Linked DNA regions of Arabidopsis thaliana. The protein of the gene in region 1 interacts with the protein of each later gene in a pairwise test. Each region holds a gene or a part of one and is shown on either strand. Other genes may lie near its edges.

Region 1 (7,186 bases):
AGGCGTACCTAGGTCATACGTTACTACATTTGGGTTCAATATTTTGACTTTGTCCATGAGATTTAATGTGTCTTTGCCAACGGAATGAAGCCGATCGAAGATAAAACTTTGATCTCCTTGCTGTAAAATTGCATGTATGAACTCATTAATTTTGATGTTGCGACATTTACTTTGATCACCACTTCCATGAAAGTGATTTATCTTCCTTGTTTATTTCTTTAGAAGAAAATTGATATAGCGATTGTTCCCAGTCTCATGATCATAAAGAGTGGTGGAGCCATAAATGACTTTTCAACTACATGACAAACACTGATAGTTACAGTGATCTATTTTCAATGAGACAAAACTTCCACGAAGCTCTCTTGCTAGGATCAACGTTCTCAGTCAATATATAGAGTCAACGTTTTGTGTCATCCGAGAATGTATCCTTATTACCGTAAGCGTGCATTGACACATCCCCCCTACAACCTAGATCCATGAGCTCTGAGTTGATCTTCTCTTTAACTAAACAAGGATCCAGACCATTAGGGATGGGTAACTCCCCATGTCCCAAAAGATGCATGCGTCAGCATCTGCCAGGTTTCATTATAATTACGAGACGGAATTGAAAAAAAAGCAGATCCATTATAATTAAGGGATTTACTAAGGCAGATCGACGGTTAGATATACGCTGGTTAACTAATGACGGATCGATCAGATGAAAGCTAATCGAGATCATAGACAAACAATTTCGACAAAGAGAGAAAGATCTTACTTGAATATTCTTCGACCGGATCATAGGACATGGTTTCGTCCGCAGCGGATGAGATACTTTGTGAATTTAGGGTTTAGTATCTATAAATTTTATGTAAATCGAACAGTTAACCTTATGTGTATATGAGCATTTTCTTATTTTCAATAGATTTTTTTTTTTATAACTTTCCATAAGTACTAGGGTTTTGTATAACGTAAAGTATGGTTCAAAAAGTTATAAATAGACTAGGAAAATATGATCACACATGAGTAGTTTGGTCTTTTGCCCACTTAGATCATATAAACATGGAGCCAAAATTCCAACCGACCAAAAAACTTCATGCAGTTAGCGAGTTTTGGTTGAAACATGACGAAATCTCTTTAGTTTTCCCCAAAGAGGGACACCTTGGGAATGTGAGAATCGACGGTTACGTTGTTAATAAATTGCCGAAAGAATTTTTTTTGGGAGGCTTATGGGGATCACGGTATCACAATTCATTTGGATCCAGAAGGTGAATTCTTTTTCTTAAAACCCACTTTTCTCTTTATACATACATTTATATATGTATATAATCTACATCTCTGAAATATTTTCCAAGTGATGAAAGTATGAGATATAACATGATGTTACTACTATACTACAACTTCTTTATTGGGCACACATGTATAACTCCGAAAGTAATTTGCTGGTACTCTAAAGTAACCAAAACTTTGGACAAGACATATCAGATAAGAGAAAGAAATTAAAGGCCACTTGTTTTTATTGGACAACACAACTAGTATCTAGTTTAAGTCAGCAACTCTTTTGCACGGCTGTAAAAAATGTTGGATATCTAATTAATTTTTAAGTTCCTCTATCAAGGCTTCTCGATTTATCTATCAGTCATTGGACTGGAAGAATTTTCCCTTGTTGTGGCAGTGTGATACCACTTCTCATCATCGCACAAAATTCTTCATAGTTTATTCTTCCATCCTGCAAAAGAGACCCATTAATCTCAATCTTGGCTTAAGACTTGTTCATAACCTTTTTGATGCTGTGTAGAGGGAAAACAAAACTTACGTTATCTGTATCGACTTCCGCTATGACTTCTTTGATGCTAGCTTCATCTCCCATACCATACTCTTTCATGGCTGACTCCAACTCATCCATTGTGATAAACCTGTGTTAAGAAAAATCCAAATTTGTTTCTTAAAGTAGCGTCAAGTCTATATTTACCTTGTTCCTCAAGGGACTAAACTTACCCGCTGTTGTCTTTGTCGAAGTATTGGAAGGCTTTGAATACGTGTTCATCTCGATCAAATCTGTATCTATGCATCGTTGCTGAGATAAATTCGATGTAGTCAATTGTTCCATTACCATCTACATCAGCCTGAAACATATATAAAATAAAAGTCTTTTGTTAGAATAATAAGTAACATAAGAAGCAGAGCAAATAGGATGGCAATACTTACGGCTTCCATGAGTTGCTTCACTTCAGCTTCAGTGAGTTTAGAGCCAAGTTTAGCTAGCCCGTTTTTCAGTTCTTCATAAGTGATTGTGCCGCTTTTGTCAGTATCCATATTCGCAAACATGGTTTTAAGACCTTTAATTTCCTCTTCCGAGAGACTCTCTGCAATAACCTGCAAAACAGATCAGAAACAGAACCAATGATCAGGGAATATAGAAGAAAATGCTACTTCTAGATAGAAATTTGTTTTTACCTTTAGAGCTAGCTTTTTAAGCTTATTCATTGCTCGGAATTGCTTCATCCGAGATAAAACAGCACTATCAATAGGCTTGTCCGGTGCTTCTCCTCCTCTGATCCAAGGATGTTCTGAAAAAACAACACCACAAGGATCACTACAGATTAGTAAAGCACTGAAAAGTACGTCAACTACAAAACCGCACTTAGAGAGACCAATGTGACTTTACCAAGAGCTTGTGCCGCTGAGATTCGTTGCTTAGGGTCCTTAGTAAGCAACTTCCTCACAAGATCTTTAGCACTCTCAGATATAGAAGGCCATGGTTGGCTATCAAAATCAATTTCTCCCTTTATAATCTCATTAAATATCCCCTTCTCAGTTTCTACAATGTAACCACAACAACAACACAAATAAACAACATAATTAAAAGGATAAACCAAATCAAAGAATTGGTCAGATTTTATTACCAGACCAAAAAGGAGGCACACCACAAAGCAAGATGTATAGAATAATCCCTGCACTCCAAATATCGATTTCTTTTCCATAACTTCTTCTTAATACTTCAGGAGCAACATAGTAAGCACTTCCTACTATATCCCTATAAACTTTCCCTGCAATTTTTGTTTTACGGTTTAGAAACAAAACACATTAAGCATATGAACACAAGATCATCAACTAACTAACTAAACTGACATAATTTGACAATAAGGAAAGGAAAAGAACACACAAGTTCTATAATAATCCATTGACACACATTCTCAAGTTCACACAAAACTAGCAAAACCTCTGATTTCAAGCTTACCACTATCTACTAAATCACTAAATGAAACAAGATTCTTAAGATACAGACTATTCTTAACAAAATCTATATCCACAATATAACTCCAACATTCATCAGAATCTTAAGATATCTAAAACATTCGCATATATATACTAAAAAGCAGAACAAGAGATATGATCACACAAACTCACCTTCTTCAATGAACACAGACAATCCAAAATCAGTAGCTTTAAGCATAGCATTCTCATCAGTACTAGCGAGCAGAAAATTCTCAGGCTTGAGATCACGATGAATCACTCCCATGAAATGACAAATCTGAACAACATTCAAAACCGATCTAATAACACCAGCAGCTGCTTTCTCAGAGTAATGTCCTTGAGCTATAATCCTATCGAACAATTCACTACCACCACACAACTCCATCACCAAATGTATCGATTGTCTATCTTCATAAGCACCTTTGATCTCAACAATGTTCTCTTGTCCAGACAAATACTGCATTATCTGAATCTCTCTCTTCACATCATCTATGTCTTGCTTTCTCGTTAGTTTCCTCTTGAGTATTGATTTGCAAGCGTATGTGTTGCCTGTTGAATTCTCTTTGCAAGTGTAGGTTATACCAAATTGGCCTCGACCTAATTCTTTACCTAACGTGTAAAGTTTCCTTATTTCTTCAAAGGGTTTGCCTAGAATTGTCTCTGTTTCTCTAAAAACGATTGGTTTCAATGGTTGTGTTAGAACGTGCTTCTTTTCGATTTGCTGATTAACGGGTTTGGATTCTTGTTGGTGATGATGATTTGATTGGGTTGTTGTCGGAATTTGAGGAGAAGGAGGTTTCTGAGGCTTGAGAACATCACGAGAGACATGGTTTTCAGGTTGATTTGTCGGAATTGAGCTCTGTACGCTGCCATTGATGATATCACTCTCTGTGTTTCGGTGTTTGCTGCTAAAGCAACCCATTTTTAGGTTTTTTTTAATAGAATTTCTTGTGTTCTCGGTTAGAGGAGAAGTAAGTCCGATTGGGAAATTTATGTTTTCTCACGAGTTTTTTTTTATTACCATTTATGTCCCGCCGACATTAACGGTTTTAATTTAATTTTTACACGGAAATATTCCATTTTCAGCTATCTTAAATTCTTGATTATTCTAATCAAAGCTAGAGTTTAAGAGAAAGACCGTTGAATTAATTTTTTTGATATTGAATTTGGTTGATCAATGTTAAATTACATGTAGAATAGACGAGTGATTTTAAATAAATGATGATTACACTAGTTATTGTATAGTGCTTAATTAATTACTTCAACTCTATGGACAAATCATATACTACAATCAAATATTAATGATCAAATTAATTACGTAAAATTAACCATAAAACCCGGTTTGGCTCCACACGGCGTCTCTGACCCGTCTCATGTCACGTCCTTTTAACGTTCTTCCCACGCCCAAAAACACGGACGAACCACCGTCACCGTTACGGCTACGCGCGGCCACGTATTCATGAGGCGGTACCATCGCACTCTCCCAATCACAATCCGCCACGTCAGCATTATCATTATCGTTATTATTATTATGCATTGACTTGACGGACTCCACCTTTAGGATCTTGCTCCAGTCAGGAACTTTCACCGGCGCAGAAGTCGCCACGTGTCTCTTCCTCTGTCCATCACTCGGAACGGTCAGGTCACTCACGCGTCCTCCCTTCCGTCTCCATTCACTGCCACTGGCCTCGAGAGAGCGTGCGTTCCACGCACCTAGTTCCTTTGGTTCGTCAGGCTCGACCACCGACCAGACATCCTCTTCCATGAGCTCCAGCTCAAAGGTAGTTTCTCCGTCCACATGATGGTCATCGGACTGCTGATGGCTCCCAAGAAACCTCTCGCTTCGACTAATCGGTAAGCTCCGACCTTTGCCCATATCTCTCTTGGTTACCTAAGAAAATTGTATACCCGCTGTGATTTAAATCGTAAATTACGTTTATTCACCTAGTTATCAAAATTAATACTTTTTCGTTGGGTTTTTCAAAATATATTTGGAAGTGAAGGTGGGGGATGAGGATGAGCATGTGTGTGTGTGAATATATATACACTAAAGGTGAATAGGTATTGCTTTTTGTGTGTGGTTTTACTCAGTTATGTTCGGTAAGATCAGAAGAAGATGTCATAGTCCACGTAAAAGAACCATTTAGATAACGACGCACTACTATTTTGTATTTCTTTCAGCATTTTAGACGAGAGCTAGTAACTTCAGACTTATTTTTTCCCATTCTAAAAGTAATTTCAATCATATACAATGTGATGTCTTACTTGCCGACGTACCATCATGCATTCTAACAACATTTCTACAGTAGCTTCAATATAGATTTGTGAGACACACGATGATTAATTTTGATAAGTAAGGAATTTTATATCAAATCTATATTAATCCATATAGTCCGTGAAACTTCTGATATTCTTGTCATTTAAAACCCTCATTCACAGTATTGAAGTATAACTAAAATCATGGTACCATTTAGAGATTTGTGCACGTCCTAGTATGTACAATAGTCGTTAAGCTTAGCCAAGCATACGTGAAATATATGAATGGCAAATGCTTTGAGTTTACATGAAAAAAAGATTTGAAATGAGAAACTATAGTTTATTCCCCCGAATTTAGTTTTTGGTATTTTTGTATGTATCCGAAAGAGATGGTGCAGATTCGACAAAATTACATAAACATATAATTGGCTTATTTCATTCTCTGTAGCTGAAGGTGGGGTCTATATATATCTCCGCATGGGAAAGCACACAAGATATGTCGCAGTTCAGCTGTTCGACACGTGTTCACTCATTGCAAGCAGGTCCAACTAATTTTGTCTATTAACGTTGACACGTGGTCTAATCTGAACCCATCAATAGGCAGATTGAGACCGGACTCGACGAGGGTGTTGTTGGATTGGAGAGTGAATGGCTAACGATGGAGACCGACGAACTAAACTAGCAAAGTCTACATGTGGTCCATGATTGTTCTGTCCTTTCCTTCTTTTTAACTTTGCCTCAATTATTAGTGTTTTTATTAATCAATTGATTACTCAAACTCTTATCGTTTTTCCACTATTCATATTCGAATTCATTACATAATCTTATACCATAAACACGTGACATGCATGTCCCATACTCCATTGTCCAAGTGATTGATATGTAATAATTTATTAAGCCATTAACAAATGAAATATGATTGATTGGATTTTATCAGTTCATGTGTGTCAAATCTCTCATATATTAAGACGAACTTTCTCAAAAAAAATATTTCAAATTTTAAGAAAACCATGTGTCAACTAACTTGTCATGAGAAGATAAATAAATTTCGGTAAATCTAGTTCTAATCCTATAAGATGTAAAGAAAGTATAAAAATTAGTCAAATTTTGATTGTCTATTAGTGAGATAGAAAATATTATGAGCAAAATCTGCATGTATACACGGATAGTTTATCTAGTATTAGAATTTAAAAATACTCAATTCCTTTTGTAAGCATGAAGTCCTGAACAGTTTATTGACTTATTCTTATTTGTTTAGTTCATTTTTTTCCTGGTCGATTCGTATTTGTTTAGTTCAATGTTTGGTATATAACGATTTTTTCTCTTTGGGGGAAACGGGCTCCCCAACGATACACTACTTTAACTGTGAATCAGGCCTATTTCAGTTACTCAATATGGGCCTATAAAAGAAATGACATAATGCCTATAAAAGAAATGACATAATGCCATATAGAATTAGTTATACTGTACGTAATTCTTGCTATTGGTATTTGAATGTATATCTAATGGATGAAAATAATGGACGAGAAAAATGAAAATACTTGACCGTATTCTATTTTTTTCTTGGTGGAAATTTGCAATACGTAGTTTTGACCTGGTTCTGTTCATACGCAGAGCAACTAAGTACGATGACCAAAATTTCAATATACTGTACAATATTGTACACGTGAATTTGGAGGAAGAAGAGAAAGAGATT
Region 2 (8,546 bases), 4.5 Mb from region 1:
ATTCTTATATATCAACAAGAAATTAAACATTCTACATAATCACTAAATTATATCATTTAGTAGTGTAATTAATAAATAAAGCATGACATTTTCTTTAAATGAAATCATATTAAAGATGATGTTACCCTTTAGAAGTTTCCATCCGCAGACATTTTCCGTATAGCACCAAGGTAATCATCGTCTATTCCAGCAGCAACACCACGATACGAAACTCGAGGCTCGAAAGAACTGTAACATAAACAATCTGAGTCATTGATAATAGGTTATAACTGAAACGTGTAGTCAATGTCGTAACACAACAAATCATGCCAACTAGTCCTCTATGAAGTGCTAATCACCGAGAGTATCGAAAAGACACATGAATGAAACCTATCAAAAGATCTATTTAGAATAAAAACAGAGCTTGTAAAACTATTCATTGATAAACTACATTTCAAACTGGATCGCAAAATATTCACCTTTACTAGTAACTGACATAGCCTTGAATTAGTGTGACACATTCCAATCAAATAAAAACTATAAATCTGCAACCTTTCTTATTCAACTGAGCAATAGAAGATGATCAATTATGAATTTCTAAACCCTAATTTCTCGAACAAAATCAGAAAACTAGTAATCAATCCAATAATTATATCCACCACGATCCAGTGAAAGTCAAACAAATGCAAATCAGAGAGAGAGAGAGAATACATACCCGAATAGAAACCTAGACGCAAAGGGAGCAGTGGCGGCGGAAGAGAAGGAAGATGAGTGAAGACTGTGCTTGGATTGAGATTTCTTCAGTAGATCTAAAACTATAGCTATTCTCGCCATTACTAACAAACCCAAGCTTGATTCGATCGAATACACAAATCTCTCTCTCTATGCCTCTTAATCTCAATTGAAGTAATCTTCCTCGTTTCTACATCGGAGACTCGTCCGAGTGGTTCCGATTAAACTCCAAATCGCCTCCGGTGTAGCCTTTGAAGAGAAACGCGTGAAAGAGAGAGAGAAACACGGGAGTCGATTTTTATTTTCTCTTTATATATTTTCCCTTCACCCACTCACACAACGACACGTCACCCGTCTCTTAGAGATTCTTTTGGCAAACAGAAGACTTTTACCTGTTGCTCTGGATGATTTTTGGTCTGAGATTCAGAATGGGAAAGTTTCTTGAGGAAGGAAGCAAGATTGTTCTAACCACATCAAGTGAAATTGTCTCCACAGTAGCAAAGGATGAAAAAATCTACCAAATGAAGAATGTTGGGAGCTGATCTCTAGATTTCCTTTTGGAAATATAATCAACCAAGAACTAGAAGGAATTGGGAAAAGGATTGCAGAACAGTGTAAGGTCTTGAACGAGCCATTGCATCAAAGAATTTCTCAAGCTACACTAACAGTATCCTTCCAGTACTTAAACCAAGCTATGACTCTCTTCCTCCTCAACTTAAGCGATGCTTTGCCCTCTGCTCAATTACTGCTGCTATGGATGGCAATAGACCTCTTATACCAACCAAGGAGCAGCACAAGATTGGAAAAATTACCTTGGTGATTTAGTTTGCTCAAATCTTTTTTTCAGAGATTGGATATCACCATGACAAGCTTTGTGATGCATGATCTTATGAATGATTTGGCAAAAGCTCTTTCAGGATGACATTTTTCATTTTCTACAAGCCAATGTGATATTGTAATCATATAGTACTAAAGATATGACAACATTACTAAATTAAATCATATAGTAAAAATCCACAACACACACTTTGATAGATCAATTGAAATATTGTAATAAATAGATTTACAGCTCATAAATTTGAAAAACTAGACCCTAAAGGCACACTTTCAATCAGATCACACTCAGATAGATTTCTTGAAGTGAAGGAAATAAAGAACAAATGTTGATCACTACAAGCCTACAAGGTAAGTTTCATATGGTGAGGTTTTCTTCTACTACAAGGAACGATCCTATGATCTTGCCACCGAGATCTGGGAATGTCTCGTATCCAGGAAGAGAACTCACTTTGCCTGTTCTATCAACTTGAACTGGATACTTAAGAAGATGACCTGGCATCTCTGTGACTTCTTCCGCTGCATATTGTCTCCAATTCAGCTCACTCAATTGCCTAACTCGTCTCACGCATTCCATGTTCTCTGGTTCCTCGAATTCTTGCTCTAGAAACCCTAGATGTTCTGCCCATAACGACATTCTATATCCAAAGATCTGCAAGAAATTGAGACAAACCAGGGTTCAGACATGTTAAAGAGAACATACATTGGTGGGTTTCTAGATTTTCGTCTTAGAATGCTATCCTAGATTGAGAAGTAGAAGTCTCTGAAAGTCTTATTTACCTGACCACGAGGACGAGAACCTTTCTTAGCCCATGAATGGTGTGGCTGATACCCTCCCATAGCGATTTCAGTGTCTCTAGTTCCTTCCAAGGATCTCTGGTTGATATTCGCGGAACCAATTAAGACAAACTCATCATCCACTACCATACCTTTGGAATGAACATATATCATGAATCTCCGACTCTTCAAAGCTTGTACCTAGATTGGTTTGTCGTTTTAATCAGTAAGCGAACCCATTAAGGCAAAATCGAAGATTTCAAAAGAAGACATTTAATATATGTATACCTGTGCAGCATTTAGCTGAGGTGGCTTCCGAGGACTATTATATACGCTAACAGTTCCATCAGGAACCTCTCTGGTTCCAACCTCTCTGGTTCCAAGACAGAAAAAGTTCAAAAAGTCTTGTGGCTCAAGCTGGCCATCAAGACCAACTTCCACAAGTGCCTTGTAGATGGTTTGATACATCATTTGCATGGTTTTGTGCTGCAGAGGTTGTGAAAAATTCCGGTAAAAAGAAGGTGAGATCGGGTTGTTTTTAGCAAAGAATCAAAAAATTATTTTACCTGCCAGTAGAGAATTCTTTGAATAGGATTACTTGTTGGAGCACCTTCTGGCCACATTGGAATGACAATATAAGCAGCAAACTTTTCCCTTGCTCTAATTTTGTTAGCAATCTTCAGCGCGATTTCCATCGGGATTAGATTATTCGCACCTGCAATGCCAAAACTCCTTGTTTACATATTGTACGCATCGATTACTAAGCTTTCCTTCAAAAGCTTTAAAGTTTCTTACCCAAGTTCTTGTTTGAATCCCAATTGAATGATGATCCAAGAAAATATTGGTTTTCAATGTAAATGAAGTGCTGAGCAGATCGTATGGCTTTAACATAAGCTGCATGTATGCTCATATCTATGAGAATGTTCTTCCCACATAGAAGGTTCTGTTCATGAATACATAATCAGTCGGAGATAGCAACATGATGACAAACAAAAACAGCTCAGAGTTGTGGTGCTATCTTACTCTTCCAGTAGCTTCCTTTGGGTCCTTTGGAAACCCTTTAACTGAACTCGAATCAATTGAACGGAAAACCTAAAGATTAATATCATTGGAGAAAAAATGAGATTCTTTTTGTCACCACCACAAATAACAATAACTAGCAAAAAAATTAGACTTGCTAAATTACCTGAACATGCCAAGACTCTGGATCATTATCATTAGCAGAAGAAGCTTCGGAAAGTCCCATTATGTCAGGAATTCTGTCTAACCTAAGCAAAGAATCATCAGAAGAAGTTCTTAGTCTCCCAATTCCGCGAGGTTTTGAAGCCTTCATCCAGCGTTCCTCAAAATTAGCAAGCACATCATATGCAGCTGGACCATCAATCTTGCTGTGCAGATCATGCCATGGTTCTCTTGGTCCATCATCCGCAGTAGTCTAATAAGAAAAACAGAATTTACATGGATCAAGAATAGCGGATTCTAATTCCAAAATTGCAACCAAGCAGGTTTTTTCTTAAATGATTACCACAAAATTTGGGTTATGGAAGTCATCTTTATGGATTGTCTTTAATGTCCTGAAGAGAGGATGCTTGGGAGTATCAAATCGTCCGTTGCACAAGTCTAGCCCTCCAACAAATGCTACAATCTTTCTTCGGTTCTGAGCTGCTTCAGCATCTACAATCATAGTTTTCTGATGATGCGTGTAGATTGTTTCAACTTCCTGATCATCATAATGACACTCAAATTTTAGACGCTGAAGCTATACACACAAGAGTTTACACAGTAATGAAGTAACTAATGAGCATCTTACAGATTTTTTTATGAAGCTGTGACCTTTCCCTCCATATCTAGGACAAAGGAGAACTTGCACCGATGAGTGCTTGAAAAAACGGCGAGTCTCCTCATCGCTTGTGTTCATAAGTCCTTTCTACATGCAACAAAACACCAGCTTTTAATTAAATAGATAGAAGGATTGTAGCTAAGTTAGTATAATTATCTAATTGAAGCAAACTCATGCTTTCCAATAAGATAAACAGAAAAAGGGTCAGAACTGAAACAATAGAGGAAAGTATGAAATGCAACTGAAACAACCAAATATGTGACTATGTGAGAAGTTAAGAACAACACATTAGACCATTCAAAACTGTGTACAAACAGAGAGGCACTCCATAGAATTATTTAAGTGATAAGCTATAAATCAAAATGGAGAAACAAAACAGAGAGGCACTCCATAAAATTATATATATATATATATACATGTTTGATTTTATGGGTAAGCAATAATAGAATGTCTTAATCAGAAAAAAACAGAGTTATGTAGATTCTTACTGTACTGAATCCCAAAAGACTCCTTGAAGTTGGATCATCCCACACCAAAACCAACACTCTAACACCTTCTTGAGATTTGACTTTAAGCAACTCTCCTAATGTACCTTGGGTCGGATCATTGTTACGACGAACCAGCCTAACCGGATGGAAAACTGACCAACCTGTGATATAAATCAACCTCCTTGCCCGTCGTATCGCATCAGCCATATCTTCCCAGCATTTTCCATGTCTATACTGAATCCCACCATCAAGATGTACACTCGGAAGAGTACCGTCATCAACATGAGCATCCTGATAAAGAGTAACCCTACCGCCTTTCCTTAAAGGGAAGTATGTACCGGGAACTCCTACACATTCAACACCAAAACCAACACCCTTTTGGTAAAGTCTCATTCTTTCCATTGGAATATACTGAATAGACAGACTCAACACAGCACCTTGTTTACAAGGCTTTCCTCTACTGTTAAGTATCGGAAACAGCCCTTCGATTCTATTCCCGGAACACAACTGCTCGGTTGGGATTTCAACAGCTCCAATGATCTGTGATCCAATAATATCACTGTCTTTCACAACAAAGTGAACTTTCGCAGCACTATGAGCAACTGGTACATCAAAATGCTGCATCCACACAGGATTCTCACTATTGCTAATAACAAAAGTTCTACCAATCACAGCACCAGAGATAGAGACAGTAACATAAGGATCACTTGTGATCTTAGAAGAATTCTCACCATCCACTTTATGATTCCTCCGACCTAACCCAAAAAACATCCCACCAACAAGGGTGTTATGGAAACCATCCATGTTAGGAAGATGTTTAGCTTCCTTAACCCAAATGTCTAAGTTACCATGTAATAATTCAACCCTCAAAGAGCCACTACTTGTATCAAACGGCACGAGTTGCTTGTCAAGCCACTGGCCAAACTCGTTGCTTGACCCTCCTCCCATAGACATAGTCTCGTTATAAACTGGATGATACGCCATGAAAAACAAAACTCAAAACGCAAAAGTAGGAAACTCTTAGTTGTCAGATCAAATCTCAAGCATAACCCAGTTCAGTGAGACAAAAGATCGATCACTTGGTGCTTGGTGGGGAATAATCGAGAGATCAAGATTCAACAAAAGGATAAAACTTTGAGATAATACAAACTCAGAGCAAATCAATGAATAAATGTGGATCTAAAAATATGGGCAAATTCAAATTAAAGTTCAGGTTTTTGTGAAGAAGAAGGTGAGAGGGAGCGAAGGAAAACGTTGACTTGAAACGGAAGAATCGGAAAATTTCAAGGATTTTTGGCTGCCGTTGTGGAATCGTCTAACTTTAGCCATTAATGACACATATATAAGATGTTTCATCTTTACTTAAACACAAATGCCAAATAAACTATTTGTGTTTTAGTAACGACGACTAAGAAAGAAGACTTCCCCACTTTGGTTTTTAGCTGCTCACGAAACTCTTTCTCTCTGGTCCCTCTTTTGATGTAACTTCAATTTGATTGACATAATTATTAAATTAAATCATATAGTAGTGTAATTAATAAATAAAGCATGAAATTTTCTTTAAATGAAATCAGTTACAAGCTTTAAATTTTTTTTTTGCTACTATGTCTTTTTGGATCCCAGATTAGACATGTAAACTAAGAGCATCTCTAATGGTTAACCTTGGATCTTAACAATTATTTCTATTAAAGTTTTGTTATTTCTAAGCTAAGAACAAAATGAGAGTATCTTATAAAAATAGTCCTCCAATGGTTAAGGTTCATAAGGGACAAAAATCAAATTTTTGTATTTAGATGTCTTTCAATACAAGGAACCATACAAACTTTTTTCATCCTTTTCGGCCCATGAATCATTCCAGTTATGTGTAGCCCTATGATGACTGAATGTCTAGCCCTATGATGGCTCTTGGCATGTAATTAAAGAGGTATGTTGCATTTAGAGATATTACCTGAGTGTAGCAATCGATTGCGGTTGTAAAATCTTTGGATCGGAAAGCTAAGTCCCCTTGCTTCTTTGAAAAGAGAGATTCCTGCATCTGGGTTGTCCACATTTGAAACGAGAGCTGCAGAAGAAGGTAAATAAAATCATATTCAAAACAAGTCCCTAATGCAAAAGACTAAGTAGTAAGCGAGAGGAAGGAATAGATTAACACCTCAATGGCAATTCCTTGTATCCAATCTTACTAAGTATTTCCTGTATGGCTGTAAGATCCATTCTTAAGCAGTATTTCCTGTATGGCTGTAAGATTCACTCTTAAGCATGCATCATCACCAAAGGATGTCTGAGAAAGAATGAGGCAGGAAAAACGATGATGATCATCATTTAGATTTTAGTAAGGACTGAACTAGAGATTCCTTCCAAGAACTATCCAGCAAGAAACAAAGAGCCAGGTCCTACATTACATCTAAAGTTTATATATCTTCTATTAGTAGAGAACTTACATGGCTCGGTGGAATATGTTTTCCACTAATGAGATCGAGCAAAACGGTTCCAAAACTGAAAACATAATACACTCTCTGGTGTAACTCTACCTGACACAAGATGAAGAAAGTGGATTTAGCTTTGGGAACTTTGTGCCCTGAAATATTTTGGACATATATAAACATGAAGCAGAGAGAGTTTTACCCGTTAGCAAATTTCTCTGTAGGAGTAAATGCCAAGTTAGTGCTATATAACTCTTCCCATCTCTGCTACTTTTCATGAGTCCAAAGCAAGACAACCTGGGATTCCCATCCTAAAAACCGATGAAAGATAAACAAAATTTTACGACTTCAAATACAGATCACTCAGAGAGATAAAGAAACATTGAATCAATATATTCACCAAAATAAATGCCAGCATTACAGAGCTTGATTAAGTAAGGTTCATGCTTAAGCAGGAAAAGGAGAACGTTCAAACACAAACCATCACCCAAATCTATCGTTAACTACCAGACTCACTAAAATTAATTCCAATTGACAAGATCTAAGAAAACCCAGTTTCGAAATTTGATGGTTTCAATTCCAATCATCAATCTCGGCTAAAAGGAACTGAAAAAAATGAAAACAGAGAGATACGTACCATGGGAAATAGATTGGAGCATACTCTCCGATTTGAAATCGTCGAGGGTCTCCACCGACGTTGAAATGAATATAACGACAGATCGGATCCGACGCATATCTCCTCATAATTCATCGGATCGAGTGATTTCGCGTTGAAGGTCGACAAAAAGAGAGAGACGATGAAATGGGGAAACAAACAAAATTTGTCACGTGAGTACTTTTTTTTTTGGGTTTTGTCATTATAATCCCACCAATGGTGTATCGACACGTCATCGCCTCTTAACATACCAAATAACTCTAACCTAAAGACACACACACCTGGTTGCACACAAAAAAAAAAAGACACACACTTCTTAGTTCTTATAAAGGAACAAAACTTGTAAATAGGGATATATGTCATGACCAAAAAGATATTGTATAAAAGATAATTTTTATTCAATTTTTTTTTTTTTTTTTTTGATCTGTTGATTTAGGTTGGAATGCAGAATTGTGGTGAATTCAACACCATCTCTCAAATCTTTTAGAGATAATATAGATAGATCAGAGAAGATAGAAAGGAAAAAAGATGGTGTGACGCGTTGAATGCTCCATGGCCACTGCAAGAAAATGTAATAACACTTTCAGAAAATGGGGATGTAAGTAAAAAAAATTCGGAAAAATGTCTGCAAACTTATGAATCTACTCATGATCAAATGGAAGAAGAAAATCTCAAGAATCTTGACATTATTATCATTTGCTGACAAATTGCATAGAGAAGAGCAAGTCAACAAATCCTTATCTGCTTCCCTATTCTAATAATTGTATTGAGTTTTTCCTGTCTGACTTGTTGCAACTCCTTGGCTCCAACAAGTTACG
Region 3 (5,219 bases), on another chromosome or scaffold:
AAATTGAAAACCGGAATTTCTCTTCATTTTAATGGTCAAACCGGAATTTCTATTTAATTAATTTATCAAACCGGAGTTTCTCTACTTTTTCCTTAATTAATGGTCAGAGTCCGGATTTCACTTTAATTAAGAGGTCATGAATCATCTTTTGTTTTTTTGACAACGAAAATGTACGGAAACATTGTTTTTGTTGGAGCTAGCTAAAAATATAAAATTGAATATGAACCATAAATTTGGTATATTAGGATCAATGCAATGAACCCAATGACCGACCTCAGGTAAGCAGCAGATACATTGTTTTTTTCTCGTCATTCGTTTAATTTCCCTTTCAATCTGTGATTTTTAATTAATTAAAGCTTGATAAAATGAAAAGGTTTAACCCATAAAAGTAAGTATACCTATTCTTGTCTTTGTCACTAAGACATACAAACTTATGATACTCTGAACCTAATCATACTCCTAAATTTTGGAAACCAAATTATGAACACTTTTCAATTAACTTGTTTCATGATAACATCACTCACGAAAACGACCATTAATCCTATTAGACCAACCACAATAAGAGATGCTTGTCGGGGAAAGAATTTCAAATAATTTGGGTTAAATTTCCACAATAACAAAATAATTTGTATCAAAGGGGATTAAAAAAAACAAAAAAAAAAACAACAAACAAAATAATTTGTAATCTTTTTTTTTAAGCAAACAAAAAAGGGGATTAAAGAGTCGTACGAGGAATATTAATTAGGCAAGTTGGTTTGGTCGAGACTCGAGAGATCATGCATTGAATCAAAGGCAAAGAGCCACGTGACGTTTACATGTGGTTCGATCCTCAGTGTCTCATCGATCGCCTTTCTCCTTACAAATCAACCAAATTATACTGTAGTAATCTTTTTCTCAAATTATACTGTAGTAATCTTTTTCTCAAATTATACTTAGTATAATAATGGAATAATATTTCACAAGATAATAATCGAATAATATTATCAAATCTAAAAAAGCTGACCAAAACAAAAATCTTTAAAATTCGCGAACGTTATGAAACTGAGCATATGGACCTTGTTATTGAGATTATTGTAATGCATCAAGTGTCTAAGAATTAGACCAAAACATATGTCTATGCATATTGACTGTCGAAAATCAATTAAATTAGAAGTAGGGTATATAAAACAAGAAGAAGCAATATTTAAACATGACTGACTTATTAGTAAGACAGAGGGAATAATATTATGATAATACTTTTTTTTCTTGAACTTTTTGATACAGGTCCACTGGACACCAATCTAAATGTGTGCGGTGTTCAAGGCAATAATCATGCATGGGTTGCCATATATACACACCTACATCTTAACTTTCCACCATTATTTACTCATCTAGTCTTCAATAAACAAATTCCATTACTAATTAAAAACGTACAAATAGAGATGTTTAATCGTAATACTGTATATCTATCCAAGAACAAACACACAAGTGAACTGAATTTTAAACTGATTAATTCTTTTGTTTCCAAAGAACTTAAAAGGAAGTACTTTTATTTAAATAAAAAATAAATCTTAAACCGCACCAAATAAGTTTTGGTTACTAGTGTATACATTCAGTGAACATTTTTATGAACCCATATTTTAGTAAAAGTATTCTCTTGATTGTAGAGACAAACACTAAACACAAATAAATTGATTTTTTTAGTTGAGCTTATGCTGAGAAGATCCATTTGACAATTTTCTTTCCTTTTTTTGGTCAACGATTCAAGGAGATCCATTTTCTCATCCCTAAATATACGATTTTCGTATCTGTAGAGTAGGAGTAGAAACTAGCGGATCTTTCGATATAAACATTCTAAATTATTAATTTAGGGTTTGTCATCCATGCAAAAAACTTTGTTGGTACACGTCAAATAGTTTAATATCTGAAGCTGCAGTCTTCGTATATTGTTAATTTGGCCTAATTAAAGTAATGCTGCACAATTAATGTGGATAACTAGTGTTGTAGTATTGGTAATCTATCAATTCTCCCAAACTACTCATCGGCTTTTTTGTATCTAAAGGCCAGGAAAAAAACTAATAAAACCACTTGACGTTGTTTCTAAAGGAAATGGCCTATATGTTTCTCAATTCATTGAACCATGAATTATATTTATGGGATTAACTATATTTATATATTAAAAGTAACAAGTGATTTCCGACTGAGTTACTAGCGAAGTCTATTTGCTTTAATTCATCATTCTGTGAGAATTCATCCTCTGGCGATATAAACATCTTGGCTTTATTAAAAACCATCCTCTCATCAAGACTTCACATGCAAAGCGTGTTGTCACGTTACTATGTCCGATCTCCATATACACGTAAATATATAAAAATAGCATCGTGAATTAATTTGAAAAACATTCCTAGCTATTTAACTTGGCTTTATATATAGAAATATGAGAGCATATACATATATTGGCCCAACATTTCCTGGTAGAACAAGCGCATTCACCATATGAAGTGCTTCGAGAAGAACAACACTATGGGTCCTTATTTATCCATAAACATCGACAAAATTATTGGTAGGTACGTTAATAAAAATAATTTCCTCATCGCATCAAATATTTGATTATAAAATTTTAAAAATCAACCTGTATATTAATAACTGGATGATTCAAAATAAACTAGAAAATTATTTTCTTAAAAATTTATAGAATGGTAAAAAGATGGTTTTAAAACTCATTTATTTAAATACTACTTACATATTCAGATCAGAGGAGATTGTAGCTTACGTCATATGTTATATAAGTAAAAGAAATGGTAGAAAAAGTAAGAGAAAAGAAGACCAGGGGAGAAGAACCTTGTGATTGTGGAGGAAGACTAGGCCACACGAAATTCAAATCTTTCAAATTCAGCAACTTGCTTCTCCTCACATTTGTCAGCCCCTTTATATAATAAACGTTCCTCTTTTTCGTCTTTTCAACATATCAGAAAATCCCTAAATTCACTGAACCCTCTTCTCTCTCTTTCTCCCCCCATATCTTCTGATTCTCCTCCAACTCCTTTATTAATAAATTCTCCTCTTTCATTGCTACTTGTCTTCCTCATTTCCCTACTAGTACTTGTTTCACACAGTTTCTTGATCCAACCAAAACCAATACACAAAGCTTCTCAAACTCCTTCACCTCAAAGCTTCTTCCTTTACATCTGAATCGTTGAGTTAACTCGGATTTGTTCTGCATCCTCTGTTTCTGAATCGTGGGCCATCCTTATTTTGTCTCGAATTCTTCACCAATTGCTTCGATCAAGCTGCATTGGTTAACCAGTTGCCCTAAAGATCAGATCTTTGAGCAAAATTTTGTCACTGATCTTCTAAATCCAAACCAGACACAGCAAAACAACCTCTGTAGATGATTCGAGAAATCTCAAACTTACAAAAAGATATTATAAACATTCAAGACAGTTATTCGAACAACCGAGTCATGGACGTCGGAAGAAACAACCGGAAAAACATGAGCTTTCGAAGTTCGCCGGAGAAAAGCAAGCAAGAGTTACGGCGGAGTTTCTCGGCGCAGAAAAGGATGATGATCCCGGCGAATTATTTCAGTTTAGAGTCTCTGTTCCTATTGGTTGGTCTAACGGCATCTCTGTTAATACTTCCGTTAGTTTTGCCGCCGTTACCTCCGCCTCCGTTTATGCTGCTATTGGTTCCCATTGGGATTATGGTTTTACTCGTCGTTCTTGCCTTCATGCCTTCTTCTCATTCTAATGCTAATACAGATGTAACTTGCAATTTCATGTAAATCTGAAATTTATTATATGATGATCTTAATTAATCTTAGGGTTCTTAATCCAATGAAATTGATATACAATATAAATGTAAGTTATAAATATTACATTAAATTATCATAATATATATATGTGAGAATACTTCAACGCACAATAAGAGAAATGGAGGAGAAGAGACTGACATAATATAGAAGCATCATAAGAAGAAATTATACAAAAAAAAAAAAAAAACCTCACTTCGTCATCTCAAACCCAAATCCCAATATCCGTTAATTTAAATCGTAGTATTTATTTGCTTATTTTCAACTATTCGTAGAAATTAGAAAACCAGTGAAGCCCAAAAGCAGAATCCATTTGTTTCAATCGAAAATGGCGGTAAGGTGATGCTCCAAAACCGCCATAAGGTTACGAGTCTGGCTTACTTCCACAACTGCAACAGCACAGCCTTGAAGCTGTCTCACTGCTTCTACAAGCTGTCCTCTTAGCCTCTGAGACAGTAACCGACCGTCCGCTTTCATGCACTCTCTGTACAGCGGCATGTACGCTATTGCTACTCTTAGCGGTGCAGGAAGGTCTCTTAAGGATATCGCTGACTCCCCTTTTTTCAAAACTCTCATGAAATTCATGAAATCGTCATGGCTTTCTCTCATTCCTTTCTCAAAAGCTGACTCCGACCAGTGTTCTTGGAGAAACGATTTTAGATCTGAAGGAACGGATTCGTCTTCTGATGACCTTGCGATGCTGTCTGCCACTGAGTATGTAGCCGTGGAATCTCCTAAGAAGTCTGATTTGAGAAGAAACTCTACTCCTTGGAGAGACCCTCCGCTTCTTTCTCCTGCTGCTTTGAGGATTTCGATGCTGAGAGCGGTTAAGACAGGTGGTGGAACACGAGGGAGGAGATAAGCAGCTACCTCGACTTGGCAACTTGAAGTGGCCGCTGTTAGAGCCAAGCAAAGCTCCATGTCACGGCAACCTCTTTTCACAAACCATTGAACAACTTGCATGCAACCTCTCTCTGCTGCTCTCATTAAGGGACCCAAGAAGGCAATGGCATTACCTTCTTCCACTAGGCACTTCATTGTTCCGATTTTACAATAATGCGAGGCAAAACCAAGAGCTAAGTCCACATCAACATCTAAGCTGTTCCTTTGGGCAATCTGCTCCAGGAAATACAATATTTGAGCACGAAAAGAGACCTTCTATAAGTCTAGAAGCAATCAAAAGAATGGAAGCTTACCTGCAATAAGACGCGGACAAGTTCTGTACTACCAAAACGTGAAGCTTCAAGGAAACATTGGTTCACATTATCTGCGCCACCTTCAACAAGCATACCGAGCAGTCCCTGTATAACAGTAGCTGACATCCCAGATGCCCAGCCAGGATCAAACGAGTTGGAGAACAGAGTGAGCGGGAAACAAGCTGCATCAAAGGCCTCAGTGAAGTCTCTTCCTGAGAGATGGTTTCCTGCTA
Region 4 (8,402 bases), on another chromosome or scaffold:
TACAAAAGCTGTAGTAACTGAAAGAAACAACAAGGAAGTTCGTGATGTGATTTACCCGATACATGACCTCAATGCCATAATCATCACGAGGATGGTCATTATACTTCAATGCATCAAGCTGATGTCGAACAGCGTCTTCTGCACTAAACTATGACCAAAAAAGAATATCTAAAACTCGGATCAGTACACTACAATAGAGACAAAGCAAGGTAATGTTCCAAGCTTATGTAGTAAATAGTGTTTCATTTACATCAAGTCTGGGGCCAAAAGGTCGTTTCCTACGGCTCTCCAACCTGGTAAAACCATCCATCCATAAACATAAGTTATGAAGAAAAAAGATGGAGAAACATAGAAAGGATCTCTAATGGCTACGCCCTACAACTATAGCTTTGCAAAATCGAATTTTTGATCATTTTAGTTTCTGGGAACCAGAATTCTACAAACCAATTGATGGACGCATTCGGATCTGTTCGTTTCCTAGCTAAAACCCAGTAACACCCAAAGCTTGAAACATATGAAAATCGAGGAAATTTGAGTTAAAAAGAGATTTTAAAGGCGTACCAATCGGCAGAGAGGAAATCGGGAACATCGGACGAAGAAGCTCGCACGAGATTACGATTAAGCCTACCGTAGCCATTGAAATGCTTGACATTTGCAGACAAGGAGGAAGGTGGAGATGGAAGCACGAGAGACCCAAACGACATCGTTCGAATCGGTTCTGATGATCTTTTGAGTTGCTCTCGACGGCAGTGGTCTTTCAGTTTTAATATCTACCTTCCGATACAACGGAGCCGAGAGATAGACACGGAATCAAACCAGAAAACAGTTTTAAAATGCTAACCGAGCTAGATTTTAAAATTTGAAGCCGGTTAAGATATTATCTGCACCACAAATCACACAACACAACACTCTCTAGCCTCTAGGACTAGGAGTTGACCGGTTCTCCCACAACCGGTCGCACTCTTTTAACATCAATCGCAAAACCGTTTTGAACCGCTTTTATCTTTTATATCACTTTTTTTTTCCAACATCAAATTCTCATCAACCTTAAACCATTGTCTAATTTGACAAGGGTTTTAATTCAACTAGACATAAAATACAACTTCACCTCTTTAGGTTGATTGAGCAGATTGCGGATGTTTCGTATTGGTCAGAGAGATGGGAGCAGATTAAGCTCTCTAGAGTCTGATTCAAATATTACCTTCTTGCATTTGAAGCATGAAATAATAATAATATTATAGTGTGTGTTGTCTCTAACTCTATCTCAATCATTGTGCTCATTTTCGGTAATGCTTTGGCTCCCAAGTCCCATCAATATCACTTTACCATCATGGATCTAAACAAAAATGAAAGATGAGATGATAATTCATCTCAGAAATAGGATAAGTCACCTAGAGAGGATTTAAGCTTGATTGGAAAAGATGAGTGAGGAGTTACTCTCAAATCTCGACCTCGCACAAAAGTTATAAATTTTAACACTTGCTTCTTCTTAGAGACTTAGAGAAGAAGATTGTCTAGACGTTTAAGAAAGGACCTTTATCCTTGTATGCTTTCTGAAAAAAACAAGATTGTTTCCATACTTCTTGTAGATTTCGATGTTAATATCATGAGGTTGTTAGAGAGTTCTTTTAACAGAAAATAGTCAACAGGATATATATATATATACATGTGAAAAATAGTAAGCAGTGAATATATACACAAAAGCAAAAAAAAAAAACCTAAAAGATATTTCAATCCCGGAGTTGATTGGGGCTTACGGTTTCCCCTAATATTAGCATCATATCACCACCATAAAGCTTGACTGTGGTGGTTTGCGAGTTTGCGTTAAGACAAATAGTTTTCATTACTCAAAATCGAAAGAGAGTTGCGTGTGAATCAAGGATCCCTTGATAGAAGGAGAAAATCGCCATCTCTGATAAGAGTGATGTCGTCAATTTCAGCTCCTTCTCTCGTAAGTACTTTAGTTGGGACGAATCCCATCTTATTTTCACCAATTTTCAATAGCTCTTCCATAGAATTTGGTAACAAAACAACTTTTCCACCAGTTTCACCGTTTTCCGGCGAACTTATCGTCACTCTCTCCGGATAAATCATACTACCTCCTCCTCCAGGAACCGCTGGACTTCTTGGAACTTCTCCTCCATCATCAGCTGGAAAAAAACCAGAAATGAAAACCAAATTTGTAAATTTGTAAGGAACAGAACAATGTAATGAACGTTGTGAATTGTATATAAGAATGACTATTGTGATGTGAAAAGTTCTGAAAATTATGGTTACGTGACAAGAAAGCAACGAGTATCTAGAGAGCAGATGGAGAGGTGAGGTGGTTTTACCGCTATTTGCAGCTGAAATGATTCCGAAGAGCGAGTTTCTGAAGTTATTGAGTTTCCGTTTCTGAGAAACAACAACCTGACCCCCGTCTAAGACGAGTTCTCCTGAATGCATTGTAGGCTCACTGCTATACTTCATTAATGGCTTCCCTGTCACAGGACTCTGAGGTATTCCAGGGATAGGTTTCGGTTTTTTCTCCACAGGCCTGTGATTATGAAACAAGGTTTTGATTTCTTCATTCCCTTGATGATCGGCAAGACCACGAGGAGTCCATCCGTAAGAATCCGGCCAGTCCAAGTCAGCACCTTGGTCTAGTAAGAACTTCACAATCTCCAAGTGTCCTTCTGACACTGCTCTGTGTAAAGCTGTGGTTCCGTTTCCATCAGGGAGTGTGACGTCGCCGCCATATTTGATGATGTCTTTGAGTGCGTCTAAGCAGTTTTTCTCCACGGCTAAGCCAGAGAAATAGCTCACTGAGTCTAAGCTTAGCTTTGCTCCATTCTCTGCAAGGAGTTTAGCAATTTCTCTATGTCTTCCTATGATTGCTTCCCACAAGGGTACATTGCCTTCGGAATCTGTAAACAATGTACGAGCCACCGATAATTTAGTACTACATGATCCTATCATCCTAAGCTAATTGACCTAGTGAAACATTATTTTTTACTACTTACCTCTAATGTTAGGATCTGCTCCATGTTCGAGAAGTAAAACGACGCAATAATGGCTTCCCTTTGATGCTGCTATATGCTGAGATATTCAAAGAAGAAACATAGAGAGTGAGCAAATTTGGTTTAGGCATTAAAAGGAGGATGATGGTATATACAAAGGAAATCCGGGCTTACCAGCGCAGTTCGCCCGTCCTTATCCATTTCATTAGGGCTTGAGCCTCGTCTTAGTAACTGATGCAGCAATAAATCATCTCCTCTGGCTGCAGCAAAGCACAAGCTGAGAGGTAAATCCATTTTCCCTTGAGCCAACATGTGTTCTGTATCAGCCAAAACGCCTTTCATCACTGGATCTTCTGAGTCTTTTAAATGCTGCATGAACCACAACATATCTGTTATGGAACTGGTCCTGTGTGTCAACAGGTTGAAACAAACTGTACTATTCAGAGTTATTACAAACCTGAAGAAGATTATTCATGATTATTGCTCCATCTCCTACATTTGCCTGAACAAGATTTAAGAGTACTGTACGGTTCAGACGAAGCAACTGACTCAATCGCTTGGTACGAACAGTAAACAGCTGCGGTCTGTAACATAGTACCCCAACTTCACCAAAAACATGTCCTCTCTGTGCTTCACTAACTACCTGTAAAGAAACACATACACAAAAACATTATCAAATATGTTTTGGTTCTCCAATTGCAACAAAGTTAAAGAAGAACACAATCATATCTTAAAAAGAAACGGTATAATAAAAGCTAGACTTGCCTGCTCCACTCCATTTACACGTGCAATTATGTCCTGAATGACATAGGAATGTGTCAGGAATAATACATGATGATAAAGGAATGTGTCAGGAATGTACGAAAAACACTTACAACAGCTCCGGTCACCAATATGTAGAAATCTGTTGGGGCTTCATTTTGCAAAATCACATCTTCTTTGGGAGGAAAATACTCTGCTTTCATTTCCGTGACCTACAGGACACCGTAAGTTAAGACTTAATGTGAATAAAGTGACCACTTTTAGCATGCAGGACTTCTTGCGTTATGGGAAACATACCAACTGGAAAAGAAGATCATTGGATATTCCATGGAACAAGTAAATTTTGTCAACAACTTCATAGAACAGATAATGTGATATGCTGGACCGAATAGCTTTGGGAAGAGAATCGATTATTTCTTGCTGCTGTAAGCCTTCTGAATCAGTTCTGTACCTCAAACACAAATGAGCAACCATCTGATCTTGTAACCGCACTGGCAGATTGTTCCTCTGACCAAACCCTGATGCGGCTTGGATGGTATCTCTCTAAAATAATGCAAATGCTTAAGACTCATGAAACTTCACTGAGACCAGACTAATTTTCAGAGAAGTGCAGTTAACAGTACCGGTACATAGAACTTACAAATTTTCTGGTGCGGCCGGTCACATGAACCACCAAGTTGGTCATATTACCAATTATATATGCTGACAGTCCAAGATTAAAAACCATGTAGAAAAGAATGAAAGTCATCTCTCTTGAGTTAACACCATGTATATCACCATAACCAGTTGTGGAGAAAGTAGTTATGGACCAATACATTGCCGTGTTATACCGCACTGCAATAGGAGACTCTTTCCAATTTTCATCGGTTAATGCCATAAACGTCTTGGATGGATCTGGATAATGTGCAGCAATGGAATAGAGGAAACAAGCACCACAATGAATCACAAAAAGAGTAACCTGCATTACCAAATCAAATACTGTAAATTCACAGCTAAAAAACTGTTCATTTGAAACCAAAAAGAGTGTAAAAAACAAGTAGACAATAGCTACTTACAAGGAGAAGCTTCGAGCAGCGAACCCAAAAGTAACTGTATTTCCTGTCTTTCTCTAACCTGAAAAGAAGACATCAATATTATACTCAGCTGGAATTTAAACGTTTTGGCTGGAACGATAAACCGGCCAAAGAACTCACCTGGCAAAACAATTACTGACCCTACGAAGACGCCATAAACGTAGCATACTGAAAATACCATATCCCTGAATACTCTCATGAAGCAAGCTCCCAAAAATTTCGTAAGGAAATGTGGAAACCACGTCGAAAATCAGCCAAGTCGACGCATATCTCCAAGCTATTCTCTTTGGATCATCGACAAGAAGATAAGTTACCTTGTCCAAGAAGGCAACAAAGAATGTCAAGACTATATCAACAGCGAAAAACCCGTTGACAATGTTATCGAGAATACTGAGAGGTGGTCTTGGCTTTTGCAGAAACCCAAATTCAAAAGGTGATGCCCAAGCTGTGTAGAGCACCAAAAACACCAAAAACGTCTCCCACGCTCTGAAAAATAATGTTTTACCTCAGCTAAACCCTAATTTAGCGATTAGATTAAAACAGAGTCAAAATTTGAAAAAACGGACCTGTAACGAGGATCAAAAGGAGAGACGATGAAGCGAGGGAGAATGACGTCACGAGAGGAACGATTGTTGGCTCCAAGAGAAGGAAGAAGGCCTTTGCTAAGGCTATACTGACTCATCGTCCCGTCGCGAGATAAATGGTCAGCAACATCATCCTCCGCATCTTTGGTTCTTCCTCCTCCTCTGCCTCCGCCTCCTTCGCCGTCGTCTTTCACACCCCAAAACCATACCTTCTTCTTCTCCATGCTTCAGATCCCTCTCTCTTTCTTTTTCCAAAATCAAAATCCCTTGCGGATAAACACGCAAGGTTTTTTTTTTTTTTTCTCCGAATTCGCCGGTTTCGAATTTCCTTTTATATCCTTTTTTCTGTTACGTTTGTTTCTTTCTTTTTTGTTGTGGGCCCCAACAGGTAACTATTTTCCCTCCTTTTTCTGCTTTTGTAGCCACAAAAATAGCAAGTATATTTCGGTTCATTGGTCTTTTAGTGCTCATAGAAACTTTCAAAATTAACAAATTGGCATGTTTTTTTCCGTTTTGCTCTGGGAACTGAATATTAACTATAGTTTTTTGGTTAATTAGGCTTTTGTTTGTCCCCCAAACATACTAATATTACCAATACTTAAAAACATCATACAAGTTTCTGTTGTTCAATAATTGGCAAAATTCAAATAGGAGGACTACAATCCAAAAACGCTTGGTAAATCGAGAAAGAAGGAGGAGGTTGGTTTATGCGCAAATTGGTATTTAGATAATCATTTCCTGGAATCAATCTACTCTGGTACTTGGAAAGCTTAATTGTGACAGTTTTGGTAACTGTGTTAGTTACATGTTTGCGTCTGTTGGCTTTGAATAAAATCAATAACGCAACCCAAGTAACTTTTTCTGCTACTGCTTTTCTGTTTGGTTTCTCTGATGCTTTTAAGTTGCAAAGGAATTTGATTTTATGAAGTTCTGGTGAAACTCAAGCTAGTGACATGTAGAAGCCACAAATCAACTTCAAGTCAAGAATAAAATAATATAAGTAAAACAGGTGGTTCCAAATAATGTCAATCTTACATAGAACACATTGAAAACATTATAAGTTAATGCAGATCATAATGTTGTTCATAAGTTTTGTAACAACCATAAAATTTTGAATTAACATGAGTTCTAAAGAATCAGAAATATTCAATTCGATTATTTTTCTTAGTGTAGAGTATAAGCGAATATAAAACCGATAGTGATGGCATAAGAACATCGCAATTCGCAAGGCTTCTTCTTCCTCTCTGAGTCTTTTCAATTTCTTTAAGCTTGAGACATAGGGAAAAAGTTGGATTTGACAAGCGAGCAGCTAGACACGTTTGATTTATGCAGAGGTCTATACACACCGATCATAATATTTATGCTAACGTTTGAATCCCCGCACCTCGGTAATTCAGCTTGAAATGTCATAGCCTTGATTTCATAAAAATTGAGTACTTTTCTGTAGATTTTGATGACCAGGCCAACTGTACATATACCACCAACAAACAAGCATGGACAGTTCCACAATCTACTGGTCACATTTGCTGAAAGAGTAAAAGTATTCCACACAACCTCAATACTGTCTCAGATAGACACAGTTCATAAAGAACTTTCAACCTAATACTTACCAATCGTCGGCAAACTTATCCAACCTGCAGACTGTAAATGATTATCCTTCGGCTAGGAACAGTTCACAGCCTGTGTAAAGAGGGTATATATATCCAAGAACACCTGAAACAGATCAGTTATGTACAGCCAAAAAGAAAACACAGCACAATTTAAATTATGAATTTTGAGGAAGAAGGGGCATTGTGTTTTGCACCATTCAGTTAACCTCATGCATCAGAGTAAGATCTCTAGAAGCAAGCAAGATCTGCAGTCACCCAACATGGCTACAGTTTTCCTGAAAAATGTAAGGTAAGTTCAATAATCCATCACTGATGAGGAGAAGACAAATGACTCGACTTATCCAGAAGCTTAAACACAATAAACTAAAGTATATATATGAAGAAAAGACATGACTCATCTTAGAACACAGATACTGTAACTTTTGTTTAAGTTTAATCATCCGGAAAGTACAACAAAGAAAATTAGACTATAAGAAGAAAACATCACAATGAGGATTTGAAATTTTCAGTCAGAGTTATTTCCCTTCTGCTGTCTATACAATCATTTTAACAATCCTCCGGTAACAGAACAATATACAACAGTTGATTCCACATTGCAGGGAAGTATGGCCAACACCTGAAGATAAGACTGTCAAGGATCAAAAAGATATAATAGATACTAACAAAATTAACTGTGGGTACCGGCAGACTTGAGATTTCTTAGCTCCATCAAATGTTCATCATTTGATATATTAAGAGAAAGTCGGAGATCAGTTAGTGATGCTTCCTGATCCCAACTTAGGGAGCCAGAAGCAAATAACTTCGTCAGTGTACTACGGTAAGTGTAAAGTTCAGGCCTACATGATCTCACCACTGATCCATTACCTGATAATGAATGTTTTCGCCTAGCTTCATCTCTGCATCCAGATGCTTCTTTTGAAGATTCAGCATCACTACTACAAGAGTCGGCACCATCTAGAAAAGAAGTTGGTTTGTCACTCTCATCATAACTAATAGGGCTACAACTACCAACTGAGGATGCATCAGTATCATAACAACTATTAGAGACTGAGTTTCCTGTACCAACACATTCACTAAACCTTTTTGATCTTACCCTGACCATTTGACGGAAACCACTTTTATTCTCGTTACACGAAGCTTTCACGTACAATTCAACACCCCTACGTTCAGAACTATCATTATATACCTTCTGTGCTGAAGAAGAAGCAAACCGGTGCTGGTGTCCTTCTTCCTCCAATGATCGTATCTTCTTAGGACTTCTAGTGCATGATTCAGCAGACTCCGCCCAATCACATGGTGAAGGTCTCTTCAACACTCTTAAAGAAGCAACACTAGTCTCCTGTGGCCACACAGTTCAGAAGGGGGTTCACATTC

What was found.
Region 2: the proteins of CPK15 (region 1) and PLDGAMMA3 interact in a protein complementation assay, tested with the Arabidopsis thaliana proteins (one large-scale study listed by BioGRID).
Region 3: the proteins of CPK15 (region 1) and ARGOS interact in a protein complementation assay, tested with the Arabidopsis thaliana proteins (one large-scale study listed by BioGRID).
Region 4: the proteins of CPK15 (region 1) and SPIK interact in a protein complementation assay, tested with the Arabidopsis thaliana proteins (one large-scale study listed by BioGRID).

What each region holds. Positions count from the first base shown.
Region 1 is NC_003075.7:11,637,817-11,645,002, reverse strand, and holds CPK15 (calcium-dependent protein kinase 15), read right to left. Parts: upstream 4,202-7,186; 5' UTR 4,157-4,201; coding exon 3,388-4,156; intron 3,027-3,387; coding exon 2,883-3,026; intron 2,798-2,882; coding exon 2,645-2,797; intron 2,547-2,644; coding exon 2,434-2,546; intron 2,353-2,433; coding exon 2,185-2,352; intron 2,103-2,184; coding exon 1,975-2,102; coding exon of another isoform or gene 1,971-1,974; exon of another isoform or gene 1,893-1,970; coding exon 1,793-1,892; intron 1,706-1,792; coding exon 1,625-1,705; coding exon of another isoform or gene 1,616-1,624; exon of another isoform or gene 1,546-1,615; coding exon 1,516-1,545; 3' UTR 1,241-1,515; downstream 1-1,240. Other genes in the region: AT4G21950 (uncharacterized protein), read right to left, coding at 398-562; AT4G21930 (senescence regulator (Protein of unknown function, DUF584)), read right to left, coding at 4,559-5,110; AT4G21926 (uncharacterized protein), read left to right, coding at 5,033-5,088, 5,238-5,287, 5,939-6,042.
Region 2 is NC_003075.7:7,120,249-7,128,794, forward strand, and holds PLDGAMMA3 (phospholipase D gamma 3), read right to left. Parts: upstream 6,070-8,546; 5' UTR 5,635-6,069; coding exon 4,651-5,634; intron 4,250-4,650; coding exon 4,133-4,249; intron 4,043-4,132; coding exon 3,848-4,042; intron 3,758-3,847; coding exon 3,509-3,757; intron 3,415-3,508; coding exon 3,346-3,414; intron 3,266-3,345; coding exon 3,118-3,265; intron 3,038-3,117; coding exon 2,889-3,037; intron 2,809-2,888; coding exon 2,611-2,808; intron 2,524-2,610; coding exon 2,326-2,523; intron 2,198-2,325; coding exon 1,904-2,197; 3' UTR 1,717-1,903; downstream 1-1,716. Other genes in the region: AT4G11845 (Interleukin-1 receptor-associated kinase 4 protein), read right to left, coding at 6,646-6,712, 6,803-6,888, 7,092-7,177, 7,276-7,384, 7,711-7,824. UniProt on the Arabidopsis thaliana protein: Hydrolyzes glycerol-phospholipids at the terminal phosphodiesteric bond to generate phosphatidic acids (PA).
Region 3 is NC_003074.8:22,126,671-22,131,889, forward strand, and holds ARGOS (auxin-regulated gene involved in organ size), read left to right. Parts: upstream 1-2,834; 5' UTR 2,835-3,370; coding exon 3,371-3,763; 3' UTR 3,764-3,802; downstream 3,803-5,219. Other genes in the region: AT3G59910 (Ankyrin repeat family protein), read right to left, coding at 4,109-4,906, 4,987-5,219. UniProt on the Arabidopsis thaliana protein: Promotes cell proliferation-dependent organ growth. Takes part in the AXR1-dependent auxin signaling pathway that requires ANT during organogenesis.
Region 4 is NC_003071.7:10,891,843-10,900,244, reverse strand, and holds SPIK (Shaker pollen inward K+ channel), read right to left. Parts: upstream 5,993-8,402; 5' UTR 5,643-5,992; coding exon 5,401-5,642; intron 5,321-5,400; coding exon 4,955-5,320; intron 4,875-4,954; coding exon 4,817-4,874; intron 4,720-4,816; coding exon 4,402-4,719; intron 4,305-4,401; coding exon 4,059-4,304; intron 3,974-4,058; coding exon 3,875-3,973; intron 3,798-3,874; coding exon 3,765-3,797; intron 3,643-3,764; coding exon 3,457-3,642; intron 3,369-3,456; coding exon 3,174-3,368; intron 3,079-3,173; coding exon 3,003-3,078; intron 2,907-3,002; coding exon 2,334-2,906; intron 2,151-2,333; coding exon 1,876-2,150; 3' UTR 1,573-1,875; downstream 1-1,572. Other genes in the region: AT2G25605 (DNA-directed RNA polymerase subunit beta), read right to left, coding at 56-148, 251-293, 562-704; AT2G25590 (Plant Tudor-like protein), read right to left, coding at 6,473-6,686, 6,803-6,944, 7,029-7,080, 7,893-7,982, 8,122-8,367. UniProt on the Arabidopsis thaliana protein: Highly selective inward-rectifying potassium channel that could mediate potassium uptake in the pollen membrane. Plays an important role in pollen tube development.